Linked DNA regions of Saccharomyces cerevisiae S288C. Changing the gene in region 2 together with the main gene of any one other region gives a genetic interaction. Each region holds a gene or a part of one and is shown on either strand. Other genes may lie near its edges.

Region 1 (5,004 bases), on a different chromosome or scaffold from region 2:
ACAACCAGCCAGTAATTCTACGGATGTAAGAAGGTTGGCCTTGGTGGTTATAAGAACACTAGCCAGATTCAAATTTGACGAGTGCATTAAGCAATACTTCGATGTAGTAGGACCATCTGTATTTTCTTGCTTGCGTGATCCTGTTATCCCAATTAAGCTCGCAGCAGAAAAAGCATATTTAGCTTTGTTCAAATTGGTTGAAGAAGATGACATGCATACTTTCAACGAGTGGTTTGCTAAAATTTCAGATCGCGGTAACAGCATCGAAACTGTCACAGGTACTACAATTCAATTACGGTCTGTTGGGGACTATACCAAGAGGGTTGGTAAAAGGTTAGCAAATGTCGAAAGAGAAAGGATTGCTGCCGGAGGAGACGCGGAAACAATGTTTAGTGACAGATTTGAAGATGAAAGAGAAATATGGGCTGTCGGAGGTGTTGAATTAACCACTGATATTTGAAGAAAATTCAATGTGGTAACCTCGTTACTTTTTGTATTTGATATATTATTCTCGTTATATAATACATACCACATAATGATATAAAAGACAAAGATATTTTGAAGTCTTCCGCTGTGCATAAGGGTTATTTATATATCTATTGCTCCCAGCATTGTAGCTAATAAGGGCTTGATAATTATTCGTACCCGGATTCATAATTGTCAACTAACTGCCAAACCCAGCGCTCTAATAGTGGCGAGACTTGCCACCACATCATATCGTTACGATCTGTATTGGCGATTCCTAAACACCAAATAACTGTCGACTTTAAATAGCGTCTCAGAAATAACTTATAAGAGAGGTTTATTATTAGAACTATCAATAAAATTAGAGCAATAATTTTAAACGGTTTGATACAAGTTATCTCTTTATTAGACATAATTGTCCAGATGTATTACATGAACTGAGTGACTTGCTCTAATGTTGTAGACACTGATGTCCGGTTTAATTAAGAAAGATTTTGGAAGTTTCACGATATCGATAATGCTGCGGGAGAAGCTTTCAAATTATAAGAAAAGGCTTTTTTTTGTTGTTTTCAGAGTAGTTTGGTGACTTGTCCGTTTCAGAAGTGTCTCGAATACGGAGTGCACCTTCCAAAAATGTTTCTGACGGCATCGAAGAGCCGAACTCTTATACAATACATGTCATTTTTAACAATGATGCAAATAACTTTTAAGGCCTTAACACTCTACATAATATGCTAAAAACATTAAAAAAAAAAAAAGGAAAATAAAAAAAAAAAAAAAAAAAAAAACGGGAGATTAACCGAATAGCAAACTCTTAAACTATGAAAAGGCAATCAATCCACTGTTTTCTTTTTCCATTTCTTCTAGCCTATTTGAACTGTCTGCTTCTGTTTCTTCATTCATTTCTTGAATGATTTTATCCTCTTCTTCTGTCAGGGCACTTATATCTTGTGTCGGTATGCATTCAGCATCCATTCTGACACTTGGTGCTCCTTGCAAGTATCTGATATTTTCTAGACATCGTATTCTAATGTCTTCCAGTAGTTTTTTACTGTTTTTGTTTTCGTATAAGTCATCTAACATAGGATAAAGTGAATAATCCGGCCCGAATGAGTCCCGGAATGGGATATCTTCGGGGATGTCTTCTGGTAGCAAGACATCATTTAAAATTCCTGTCTCGTAGGTCCAAAGCCGTGATACATTTCTAGGTGTATAACCTCCACCGCCCACTACTAGCATTGGTAGACCAAATGATTTGACAAATTTTACGCATTCTCCATGTGCCTTTATATTTAAATTGAAGCATCCTAAGCGATCATGACCTAAGGAATCCGCACCGCATTGTTGGACAATAAGTGTTGGTTTGAAAGTCATTATTAGAGGATCTACAATTGACTTGAAAAGGTTTATATATGAGTCGTCATCTATGCCATCTTCTAGGGGTACATTTAATGCGAAATGTTTTCCTTTGTCGCAACCAATTTCTGTCAGATCACCAGTTCCTGGGAAAAATTCGCCATTATATTTATGAAAAGACAACGTGAAGACCCTATCTGTGGTGTAAAATGCCTCCTGGACACCATCGCCGTGATGTAAGTCGATATCGATATAAAGGATTCTTGGGTGATATCGTAATAAGTTCAAAATAGAAAGCACAATATCATTTACATAGCAAAACCCAGATGGACTATTCTTTTTTGCATGATGAAGACCACCAGACCAATTTATCGCTATGTCCGATTGATTGTTGATTAGTTTCCTGGTGGCGTCAAGGCTCGCACCAGTGTATAGTGTTGTATAATCATATAAATTTTGAAAAATAGGACAGTCGTCTCCAATGTTAAAATTTTCAAGTGTGCCTCTGGGCAGTTTGTTTGCATTTTCTGGTGAAACCTTCGAGAGAAAATTCACGTAGTCTTCCGAGTGAAATTGTAGTAATTCGTCTCTGGTAGCGCTTCTTGTTTCATAAAGGTCCATAATCTTGTGCAATCCATAAGAGGAAACTAGGTGATCCGTTAGCATTAACCGAAACGGCTTCATTGGATGCTTAACACCATAATGGTAATGTGAAACTTTGGAGTTAAAATGATACGATACCCTGGGAGAATAAGCAGAATTAAACTCAAATAATGGTTCGTTCTCCTTTGTTTTCACATCATAACTAAATGTTCCAGACATGTTGCGTGTTGTTATTCACTTGATACCTGATTTTAACGTACTTGAGTAATCTGGCGTCTTTTCTATAACTGTACATTGGCGACACACCTAAAACTGATTAGAATCGTTTCAAGATGCTTTCAGTTCAACATTTAGTAACATAGTAGGAATATCACGTTTAACGATGCCCCAAAGAACATCGAGAATCCTCTATATAGAGTATAAACAGGGCATTCTACATTGGTATAGAGGTGCCTTAGGTATATAGTGGTACCGGTCACATAAATTGACGGGAATATGCGTCTTTAGGCGGCTTTTGGCGTACAGTATTGTTCTTTCTTTCGTGCTTGTGAAACTTGTTATAAACAAAGAAAGAGAAAGATCTCCCCGGCATTCTGGAAGATCGGTAACCGCTGGAGCTATAGGAAAGGGAGATGGATAACAGTAAAGAAAACGGACCATATAAGTTAGCATTGGGGGTTTTCGAAAAAAATAAGAATTGGCATTCAGACTTGAATTCATAAAAGTTGTAAGCAGGCTATGATTAACGATAAACTAGTACATTTTCTGATCCAGAATTATGATGACATCCTAAGAGCACCGCTTTCTGGACAGCTCAAAGATGTGTATTCACTGTACATCAGTGGCGGATACGATGATGAGATGCAGAAGTTGAGAAACGATAAAGACGAGGTCTTACAGTTTGAACAGTTTTGGAATGATCTTCAGGATATTATATTTGCAACGCCGCAGTCCATTCAATTTGACCAGAATCTATTAGTGGCAGATAGGCCAGAAAAAATTGTTTACCTGGACGTTTTTTCCTTGAAAATTCTCTATAACAAGTTCCATGCCTTCTACTATACATTAAAATCGTCCAGTTCTTCATGTGAAGAAAAAGTGTCGAGTTTAACAACAAAACCGGAAGCTGATTCGGAAAAAGACCAACTGCTGGGTAGACTGCTTGGAGTCCTGAACTGGGACGTTAACGTCAGCAACCAGGGGTTACCACGTGAACAACTGAGCAATCGCTTACAAAATTTATTGAGGGAAAAACCATCATCTTTTCAGCTTGCTAAAGAAAGAGCCAAATACACGACCGAGGTCATTGAATACATCCCGATATGTAGTGACTATTCGCATGCATCTCTATTGTCCACCTCGGTGTACATTGTCAATAACAAAATCGTTTCTTTACAATGGTCCAAAATATCCGCATGTCAGGAAAATCACCCAGGATTAATTGAGTGCATTCAATCAAAAATTCACTTTATCCCTAATATCAAACCACAAACTGATATTTCGTTAGGAGATTGTTCCTATTTGGATACCTGTCATAAATTAAATACGTGTCGATACATTCATTACCTGCAATATATTCCGTCATGCTTGCAAGAGCGAGCTGATCGTGAAACTGCGAGTGAAAATAAAAGAATACGGTCAAACGTTTCCATTCCATTTTATACTCTGGGCAATTGCTCCGCACATTGTATCAAAAAGGCTTTACCTGCACAGTGGATCCGTTGCGATGTGCGGAAATTTGATTTTAGGGTTCTTGGAAAGTTTTCGGTAGTTATTGCAGATCCTGCATGGAATATCCATATGAACCTACCATACGGTACTTGCAACGATATTGAACTATTAGGTTTGCCTTTGCACGAACTACAAGATGAAGGTATTATTTTTCTTTGGGTGACGGGTAGAGCTATAGAATTGGGTAAAGAGTCTTTGAATAACTGGGGTTACAACGTGATAAATGAAGTTTCATGGATAAAGACAAACCAACTGGGTAGAACAATTGTTACAGGTCGTACGGGTCATTGGTTAAATCATTCTAAGGAGCATTTATTGGTGGGCTTAAAGGGTAATCCAAAGTGGATCAACAAACATATTGACGTCGATTTGATCGTATCAATGACCAGAGAGACTAGTAGAAAGCCTGATGAACTGTATGGTATAGCAGAACGGTTGGCAGGCACCCATGCCAGAAAACTAGAGATATTCGGAAGGGATCACAATACGCGGCCTGGCTGGTTTACCATCGGAAACCAGTTGACAGGAAATTGCATTTACGAAATGGATGTCGAGAGGAAGTACCAGGAGTTTATGAAGAGCAAAACTGGAACCAGCCACACTGGTACTAAAAAAATCGACAAAAAGCAACCTTCAAAATTACAGCAGCAGCATCAGCAGCAGTATTGGAATAATATGGATATGGGGAGTGGTAAGTATTATGCTGAGGCCAAGCAGAATCCTATGAATCAAAAACATACTCCCTTTGAATCCAAACAGCAACAAAAACAACAATTCCAAACACTAAATAACCTATATTTTGCTCAGTAAAGCGTTAAATAATCCTTTTAAACATTAATAGCATTGCAT
Region 2 (4,792 bases):
ATTAGTTGATAGACGATAGTGGATTTTTATTCCAACAGTTTTGTTATAAGGTTGTTTCATATGTGTTTTATGAACGTTTAGGATGACGTATTGTCATACTGACGTATCTCATTTTGAGATACAACACAGTGGGCTAAGAATATACAACCGTTTTAGTCAATGTGTTGAAATATCATATTTTAATGCATTGCTCGAATCTCTTCCTTCGACTTACTTATATTGATTAAGGGTATGTATTTGATCCTTCCACCTGGAAAAACTGAGGACCTTACAGTGTTATTAAGTGTATGATGTATCACTGTCGTTGTAGTATTTCTCGGGAAGTTTTTCACTGGCAATTGGAGGTTGCTAGAGTTTCTTTTAACGCATACCCTAAACGCTTGTTTCTATTTTAATGACTACTTGAATCCTATCTAACTGGTGACACAATTTGTTTCATTTTTTAATATCTCACCTAATATATCCTAATAATATGAACATACCATAGCTCTTGTAAAGCTGGTCCATATTTATGTTTAGTTTCCGAATGCTTTTGTAAGGAAACGGGTTGTGGAAAAAAAAAAATACAACTACGTTGCCGCGAATCTTGTTGAAAAAGGTCTCAAATTAAGGCAAAAATGATACTGGAATTGTTAGTCTTGTATAATCGATCAACTGCAACAACCAAGTCTTTAAATTTTCAGTCCGTCTTGAAAGAATAGTGAAGGTTCATTTTTATTTTTACATAGTAAAGTTTATAGAATTATGGGCGATACACAATATAAATGTTCTAACCCAACTGATGCATATCATCACTGTACGTTTGAAAATCGGACAGGCAAACTGGATAAATGGAAAACGCAATTACAAAGGGTATGAAAATGAATGTAAGAAGTGAAACAGTGCCTCGAAACAGTTCCCAAACTCTCTACGACTTCATTAGTCATTTCACGTCCATATATCAAAACATATATCAATATTCCTTAGCGTATGCCCTTCTTACGGCGTCTCTTCTCCTCTTCATGCTTTTTTAACCAAGCTTCCTCACGTTTATCCTCTAACCTTGCCATTTTTCTTGCCATTTCCTCCTCTTCCAAGATTTCCATCTCATTTGCTTCCATATCATCATCCTCAAGCTCATCGTAATCGTATTCTGACCGCTTCTTGCCTCTATTGAACATAGCCCAAATTTCGTCACGATCATATCCGGGACCATTGCTGTGTTTCGATTTGCTGTGGTAACCTTCATCTTCATCGTCTTCTATAAAATCATCCATATCGTTATCTTCTTCATCATAGTCATCCTGGTATCTTGATTTCTGTTTTCTAGATTCTAACTTTTCTTTTAATCTCCTATTAGGTTGAGCAAATCCATTTGTGGGCAAGTTGAGCTTGACGGGCTTGGGTGAGTCTGATGATTTTATGCTATTGCCTCCAGAAGATACTCCACGCAATGTTGCGCCAGGGGATGCTTTCTTTTGTGGTCTTTTTGAACTTTTGAAACCTGGCTTGTTAAAATGTGGGCGTTCCTTAGTTACGGGTTCCGATGACTTAACTTTTGGGGGCTGTTTCTCATTATTTTCCGCTTGTTTCATTAGCTCTTCAAATGACATCTTTTTGATAGGTTCAGGTTTCTTCCTTACAACTGGCTTGAGTGGCGCATGACTTGCTCCAATAGACCTCTTAAACCTAATTCCAAGGCCACCTTCATCATCGTCATTCCTTTCTATTTTCTTTTTCTCAGATCCAGATGAGGTGCCACGTTTCCGTTTTACACCACTTTTTTTAGCCAAAGCACCATTCTTTAACAGTTCCTGCCGCCTCAGCTCCTTCAATCTTTTTACTGCAGGATCTTCGTCTCTTATGTAATTTTTGGGTAACAAGGAATACTCTTCGTCATTCTTCTTGGGTAATGGATCTTGCACTTGGGCTTTTGATGCAGTCGTTGATTTTCGTATTTGGGAAAGTTTGGAAAGAAAACTCATAACTAAAATATTTCACTTTGAATAGGACTCAAGTCCCTGTCCCTCTCATCAACTTTTATTTTCAAATTACACTAGTTATTTTATTGTATTCATATATTAATCTGTGGCACTTGTCCATGTGGGAATATCTTAGTCGAACAAGAAAAATAATCATGTTAAACGAAAAAGTTTGAAGCCAACTAAGTTCTCATTCATTACAAAGTATATACAAAATTCCTGAACATAGAATTTCTTTATTAAAAACATACTTTCCTAATTATTCAAACCGTTTCAGCCTCATTTCAGTCTGATTCCTCTGACATCTCTAGTTCTTTCATAAAATCCGAATAATCCTCCCCGACATCGTCGTCTGTAGCACTTTCCTCCGCTTTGTCAACAGAAACATAATCTAAACTATCTTCTGGCTCTGAAGGTTCACTATACGGCCTTGCTTCGTGGTTTGCTATACCTGGTAGGAACCCACCTCCCATAAAAGTCTCCGTATTATCGTGATTGTCCGCAATATTCTGTTCCTTCGTAACGTTAGGTTCTTCCTCGGCAATTTTACCATATGTGGAGTTCAGCTTGCTACGAATACGCAGTTTTAGCAGTAAAGTATTCCAACTCTCCAAAGCACCAAGCAAATGTTCCTTCCTATTATCATCCTCTTGAATAAACTCTATTCCATCAATAGCGGTTTCAATAGCTTCTCTGAGCCACTTTGCAACAACAATGCCACTTAAAACTGGCTTAACTGTACTGCCGCGTTCAAACTTAAAAGAAGTTACAGCAGGTGCAAATTCCACCCCCAAAAACCTAGCAGCTTTAATTGCCACAGGATTCTCAACCAAACAACAGTTACCAGGTATCATCGTTGGTGCAAAAACTTCGATGTTTCCAAATGTATTCTTGGTTATTTCACCGCTCGCACTGGCTAATGGAGGGATGTATAATTCTGTGTCTTCAAAGCTATATAATCTTTCATCTTCTTCTTCTGCTTCGCCCTTAGGCCTTCCAACTGTCCTCTTTATCACCTTTTTACACCTGCTACCAGTTTTTAAAATTCGGCCGTTCATGTACCATTGTCTAGCACTTTTCAAATCCGCAATATCTCTTTTTGCATAAACTTTCAAAACCTTCCCAACTTTTCCATGTACTTTTAAATATCCACACTCTTTACATCCTGGCTTTACAATTTGAGTCTGTTTGATATCTTGTTCTAAAACATAATATGGGTGGTTTTTCAAATCCTGCACCGAATCTGGTATGCCTTCACTTTCATCTCTCTGAAAAAAATATTGATCTTCGTAATCATCAATTTTGGTTCTCTTTCTATGGTGAAGTGCTGTTATCACTTTTCTGAACCATTTCTCACCAAAGTCATCTTTAGTAATTCTTCTTTTTCTTACTTTAGAGTTCATCCATTGGGCATATCTTCGAGTTACATCTCTACAGCCATACTTCCGATCGTAAGCAATCACGTACCTCAACATATTTCTTTCGCAGCACGCCACGCCTTTCGGTGCCAACTTGGAATGAAGTCTGACCTGTTCAATGGTTTTGAGATTTACTGGGTCAACAGTTATCCATTTCTTAGAGAATTTGTCCCACACTTCACACCAAAAAATCGGATACTTGACCATATCTTTGTACGCATTGTTTCCATTCAAAGAAGTGTCAATCTTCATATTGGTAAAATCTGGCGGTTGACATGACATGATAAGTCGTGCGTTAACATTACAAGCCCTGAGCATCGCAACGAAACCTTGCACTGAAATATCAGGATCTCCGTGACCTTTACTGACGGCCCTTAAAAAGTCAGATCTTTTCAACGTCTTGAATTTTCTTTTGTTATTGGCGCTCATTTCAATTTCTTTCCAGGTTCTCATATAAAGTCCCACATTATCATATTTTTTAGTGATCTTCCAGTGTTTTTGCCATAACTCCATGCATTTCTTCAACCCATCTAATAATTTCCTAGTACTCCTAAGTGGGAGTTCCTCATCTTTCTGAGGATGCAGTAGCTCAAACACTTTCTCAGGAACTAAGTTGCTCAGTTTTCTAGACAAGCGCTTGCTGTTAATCCATTCATTTCGTATAAATCCATGAACCATCAAGCAAACTAGATACAACATGTGGAAATATTTTCTCCTTTTCCGTTCTTCATTAGAACAAACGTTGCGGCTTGTCCTTCTAGCATCACTATTCCTTTTACTAGAGGGCTTAATTTCAACAGATATATCTTCTACACCGGCCACCTCATTTCCATCTGTCACGTCTTCAAATTCCTCCGAATCATAATCTTCTTCAGATGACTGGATTTCCTCTACACTATCATCCGTCGGTACCGTAACGACGCCATCATCTGAAGAATCTAAGTTTACAGTAACAACGCTTTCTCGTGGCAATTCATTCAACCCTGTTTTAAACTTCTTCTTGGCATCTGGTAGGGGCTGGTTCTTCCTTCTGACTCTTCTTCTTCTACTCAGGGGCGCTTTTTCTGCCTCTTTCTCGTTAAGAGCCTTCCTTATTAGTTCAAAATATTCCTTGGGCAGGTCTTCATTCATTTTAGCGGAAAAATAGTGTCGTTATGTCTCTGCTTGTCGTCCTGTTTGAACTGCATAAAATTTGCATATATTGTGCATGCATTAAAGGTACTTAACCGCATTTTTCCATTTTCCGCCGCACTATATAGATGGTAGAAAAGCAAGAGGAGAACCTTACATAGTTAATCAAGATATGTATACATATTTCATTCACCTGTATTTATTTACAGTCTCCAATAGAGCAGTCAGATAATGATCGGTAATACGCCCTCGCTCTTTCATGATGGGCATTTGCGCTAGCGC
Region 3 (5,121 bases), on a different chromosome or scaffold from region 2:
TAGACCTTTCAGGGAATACAATCGGTACTGAAGCTTCGGAAGCATTAGCTAAATGCATCGCTGAAAATACACAGGTCAGGGAATCTTTGGTTGAAGTAAATTTTGCTGACTTATACACTTCGAGGTTGGTTGACGAAGTCGTTGATTCGTTGAAGTTTTTATTGCCTGTTCTGTTGAAATGTCCTCACTTGGAGATTGTGAACCTTTCTGATAATGCGTTTGGGCTAAGAACAATCGAGTTACTAGAAGATTACATTGCACATGCCGTGAATATCAAACATTTGATCTTAAGTAACAATGGTATGGGCCCTTTTGCTGGTGAAAGGATTGGTAAGGCCCTATTTCATCTCGCTCAAAATAAGAAAGCTGCTTCCAAACCATTTTTGGAAACTTTTATCTGTGGTAGAAATAGATTAGAGAATGGATCCGCAGTCTACTTAGCTCTGGGTTTGAAAAGCCACTCCGAAGGTTTGAAAGTCGTAAAGCTGTACCAAAATGGTATTAGGCCTAAAGGTGTCGCCACGCTAATTCATTACGGTTTACAGTACTTGAAAAACTTGGAAATCTTGGATCTTCAAGACAATACTTTCACGAAACATGCTTCTTTGATCCTTGCTAAGGCCTTGCCTACATGGAAGGATAGTTTATTTGAATTGAATTTGAACGACTGTCTTTTGAAAACTGCTGGTTCAGATGAAGTCTTTAAAGTATTCACCGAAGTTAAATTCCCCAATTTGCATGTCTTGAAATTCGAATATAATGAAATGGCTCAAGAAACCATTGAAGTATCCTTCTTACCGGCTATGGAAAAGGGAAATTTACCTGAATTGGAAAAGCTAGAAATAAATGGTAACAGATTAGATGAAGATTCTGATGCTTTAGATTTGCTCCAAAGCAAATTTGATGATTTAGAGGTTGACGATTTTGAAGAGGTCGATAGTGAAGATGAGGAAGGCGAGGACGAGGAAGACGAGGACGAGGATGAAAAACTCGAAGAAATTGAAACGGAAAGGCTTGAAAAGGAACTGCTAGAAGTACAAGTAGATGATCTTGCTGAACGTTTAGCTGAAACTGAAATCAAATAGCTATGAATAAAAGTAAAAATAAACACAATCAACTGTGGACGAGGTTCAGGCAAATATCATGGTGACACGCTTATAGATAGTTATCGGGTAAGTTAAAAAACCAAATAGCTGATGTATGTATATGTATGCAAAAGATATAAAATATATATTTCTATTACAGGTACAACAGGTCCAGTAAGAAGCCAAGCAAAAAACAGCATTATCGTCTAGATGCTCCTTTCTTCGCCAGAAAATCTGCCATTTCATTTCCTGGATCACCATCGTGTCCTTTTACCCATTCAATCTGAAATTTACCATTATTTTTGAAGCACTCTTTATTCAACTCATAGTACTTTTTAACTTTAACGAACCTCTGCACCAAAGGAACAATTAAATCAGAATTAGGTAGCCCTTCAAGTTTTTTATTATCATACGTCATATACCTGTCATTTAATAATTTGGTTACGTACTCTGAATCAGTTTTGATTTGATAATTTACTTTTTCCTTTTCATTAGTTAACTTTTCCCAGATTTTCTTCAAAGCTTCTGATACTGCTTCGATTTCAGCTCTATTATTAGTTTGAGCTCCCGATAATAAGGGTTCTGAAATATTTTCCTCTGGCGCTCCTTCAAAATATGCACCATAACCTGCCCTTGAAGATGACGTGCCGTTTCCAAAACTTGAACCATCACAGTAAACGTTCATAGACTTGTTGTACATGGTATTGCTAGAAAGCTTATACTTAGATTCAAAACTTTCTTTGGATATATTCATGAGCTTGTAATCATGCGCACTCATACCACTAATGAAGTTTTCCGCAGCTAATTGGTCTTCAAACTTCTTGAAGGTTATACCCCTTTTATGCTTGACATAGGCTTGACAGTCTTTCCAATTGTTAAAGATTTTACTCTCGATATTTGGAACATTACTCTTTACTGAATAAAAGGTATTTGTATTAGCAGAGCTTAAAGATGAACATGCTGATGACGATGTCAAGGAGGAATAATGAAGTGGCCGATTCCTTCGATGAACTCGCTTTTGAGTGGTATGAGGTTTACTAACTTGCCCTCCAGCATGCGTTGAACTTCCATAGTTTGATGTAGTATTTGGTTGACCTAGGAAAGATTTCGCTTGCTCGTAGCTGTTAAATTTTTTATAAATTGCACCACCATAACCATCAACTTGGTTTTTACATTCATTCCATGTATTATAGATCCCAGTTTCCCTGCCCTTTCTAACCGCGTAGAAGTTCCCTTGCCTTGCCATAATTAGGAATCGATAGTTCCTTCGATAAGCAAGGAGTGACACTTTAACTAATTTAAACAACGTGTATTATTGTGCTGCCATGAAATTAATATAGATCTTTACGACTATTGTACTTGCTTTTATTCATTGTTGATGCTGCTGTCATTTTTACATTTTTTTCTCCAGATAAAAAATAAAAAAAATATGCCATTAATTGATATCATCAGAATTTGACGAAATTCTCAAATCGAATTTGCCATAGTATTTCTTTAACGCCGTGAAGTGAAATTATTTATTACTAATGCTACATTAATTGTTAATTTACCTGTTTCAAGTACAATACAGTAGGTGCAGTGTGCTTTATACATGTCATCAAAGAGGAAAAAAAATCATTAAATTTGTATAAGTGCTACAGCCAAGATCAACCGCTTAAATTGGGAAGAGATTCGTTTTCCAATTTGATTTCTTTTTCGGGTGTTTGCTTTTGTTCCTCTTCATGTTTCACAATTTCATCGGGATTAAACAAGTGCTTAGTTAAGAGTTTATTCATTGAAAACATCGTCATTTTTTTGCCAAAAATTGGTTCCATCTTCTCATCGCATAGAATTTCTCTACGATCTTTTGGGTTTTGAAGATCATGCTCTTTGATATACTGCCATATCATCTTCACTACTTGCGTTCGTGGCAGTTCTTCAGATCCTAGAAACTTTTGTAAAGGAGCTGACAACAGAACTTTGCGGACGGAAATGCTGTTGGAATCAGGACTATCATTCTTTTTCTTCTTCCTTTTAGATTTACTTTCACTTTTACCTTTCCTTTTCCTCGTAGACCTCAAGGGTCTTTCTTCTTCCTTCTGTAACCTCAAAGATAGTTCTTGATCCCGACTAATGAGGTCGTTCTTCGGAATTAAGACTCTTGGGTTTTCTTGTATATCGCCGAACCTCTCAAGAATCAATTCATTAATTAACTTTCTTTGTGAATCCAAATTAACTGAATAGAGAATTTGCAGGGCTTTCCTCACCCTTTTTGGGCTTATTTCATCGGGGTTGGATACGCTCAAAATAGCGTCAACCATCGGAATATATTTATTGATGTCGGCCATAATGCTTTCACCCTCTATTTGCCTTCTATTTGCTCATTTCCTCTTAAACTTTTTCTTAAGGCTTTTCATGAATTAATTAAAATTTTCTTTCTCCTTCGCGCCAGCAAACAAATTATAGGTGACTGACTATAGTTCAACATATATACTGCTCCAGCGCAGTAGTACTACTTTAATAAAAAAGAAAACAAAACATTCTAAAAACTATAAGCTAAATATACTCTTTTGTTAAAGTTCGAAAAGTTTTCTGACAACACGGCTTCCACTAGGGTCTCCAGGGAAAGGCCAATCTTTTCTTACCATGCGTTTTGTCATATATCGTGATTTAGAATAACACTGCAAAATATCAAGATTTTTAATTTGGCCGGTAGCTATAGAGTCATTAAGAGACATATTTTCAAGATCTTTTTGCAGGTATTTTTTTCCACCAGCAATGATTTCCAAATATTTTAAGAAGACTTTGATATAGTTCAACAAGATACATTCGATAGTATCGTGGATCAAAGTAATAAAGACCGGTAATTCCCTTTTCATCTGGTTTTGCAGGTTTTGGAAATGCATTCCCAACAAGTCACGTTTAATATCTCGCACATTTGCTTTTTTTTCTTGTAAAAATAACATGTAATCTTTCTTCAAAGCTTGCAAATCTTTTAGTTTGCTTTTAACGGTAGTACAATGGGCTATGATTCTTTCAAGTGGGTTCATCACATCTGTTTCGAGCTCTGTGAGTTTCAAAATTGTTACTTGATTTTTTTGTTCATGCAGTTTATCTATGTACGAAGAACACATGGTCGATATTAAGTTATCGTGCGCAAAAAATGCACCAGAAGGGCGTTCGCACTCGATCACCTTTTTCCATGCATTTATTCTTCTTAAACTGATATCAATAATGCCTGACAGATCGTTTTTCAATAAATTCTTTTTTAATTCTAACAAACCTTTCATTACTTTCTTGAATTTACTGATGTGATCTGCCAATGTAAAAAATTCTGTTTCTTCATCCATTTTTAGATTTATCATCTCAGCTGAGGCAGTTGAAGTATTAGTGACAATTTCTAGCCCTGATACATCTGAGTAGTAACTCGATGATCCAGAAAGAAGAGAAGGAACTCTACTATTATCCAAATTACTCTCTTGTCGAGATGCATTACATATATTTTTATTTTGTTTGTCTGGGGGTTTTAAAAGGTGTGTAAACTGATCTTCATCATAACTTTGTATAATCTCTGATGGGGTTAAACTGAAATTATACATGGAATTACTCTTATACTCGGAGACCTCGGTTTCTAACTTATTGGAAAATAAAGAATATTTTCTTCTTGTCGGGCTTAGTTTCAAGCCCAATTCTGGCGAAAGAATATCTTCGTAACAGCTTTCCAAAGTTTCCAAAGTATCAATCCACTGAGTCAGTCTTTTCATCGGGCTTTTCAATATGTCCTCTAACTTTATACATCCACTCTCTTTTAAACAATATTCATACCACTTGTTAAAAAAATGATTCTTATTCATCCTTAATGTAGTAAATAGTTCCATTTGTTTTTGGTGGCTAACAAAATAGCTTGTGTAGGTGGATTTGATTCTTAACAAATGTTGCTCGAACGCCTCTGAAATATCAAAAGTTGAATATAGCTGCTGTTGTACCTCATTTTTGGTGAATATCTTTTGCCATTCATTCGCATCCAACATTTTCCCACGTTGCTTGGCTAAAAGTA

Evidence for each region. Genes that interact genetically often act in the same process or in processes that back each other up.
Region 1: mutations in SPT2 (region 2) and HOS2 together harm fitness more than expected from each alone (negative genetic interaction), as found in Saccharomyces cerevisiae (3 studies listed by BioGRID).
Region 3: of SPT2 (region 2) and RNH1, a mutation in one rescues a mutant of the other (synthetic rescue), as found in Saccharomyces cerevisiae (3 studies listed by BioGRID, with this or other methods).

The regions. Positions count from the first base shown.
Region 1 is NC_001139.9:139,084-144,087, forward strand, and holds HOS2 (histone deacetylase HOS2), read right to left. Parts: upstream 2,644-5,004; coding exon 1,285-2,643; downstream 1-1,284. Other genes in the region: GCN1 (Gcn1p), read left to right, coding at 1-460; YGL194C-A (uncharacterized protein), read right to left, coding at 636-878; YGL193C (uncharacterized protein), read right to left, coding at 2,833-3,144; IME4 (mRNA (N6-adenosine)-methyltransferase), read left to right, coding at 3,163-4,965.
Region 2 is NC_001137.3:498,385-503,176, forward strand, and holds SPT2 (Spt2p), read right to left. Parts: upstream 1,965-4,792; coding exon 963-1,964; downstream 1-962. Other genes in the region: RAD4 (Rad4p), read right to left, coding at 2,246-4,510; GCG1 (gamma-glutamylcyclotransferase), read right to left, coding at 4,700-4,792. UniProt on the Saccharomyces cerevisiae protein: Histone chaperone that stabilizes pre-existing histone tetramers and regulates replication-independent histone exchange on chromatin.
Region 3 is NC_001145.3:737,476-742,596, reverse strand, and holds RNH1 (RNA-DNA hybrid ribonuclease), read right to left. Parts: upstream 2,332-5,121; coding exon 1,285-2,331; downstream 1-1,284. Other genes in the region: GTPase-activating protein RNA1, read left to right, coding at 1-1,085; TRI1 (Tri1p), read right to left, coding at 2,732-3,412; FUS2 (Fus2p), read right to left, coding at 3,638-5,121. UniProt on the Saccharomyces cerevisiae protein: Endonuclease that specifically degrades the RNA of RNA-DNA hybrids.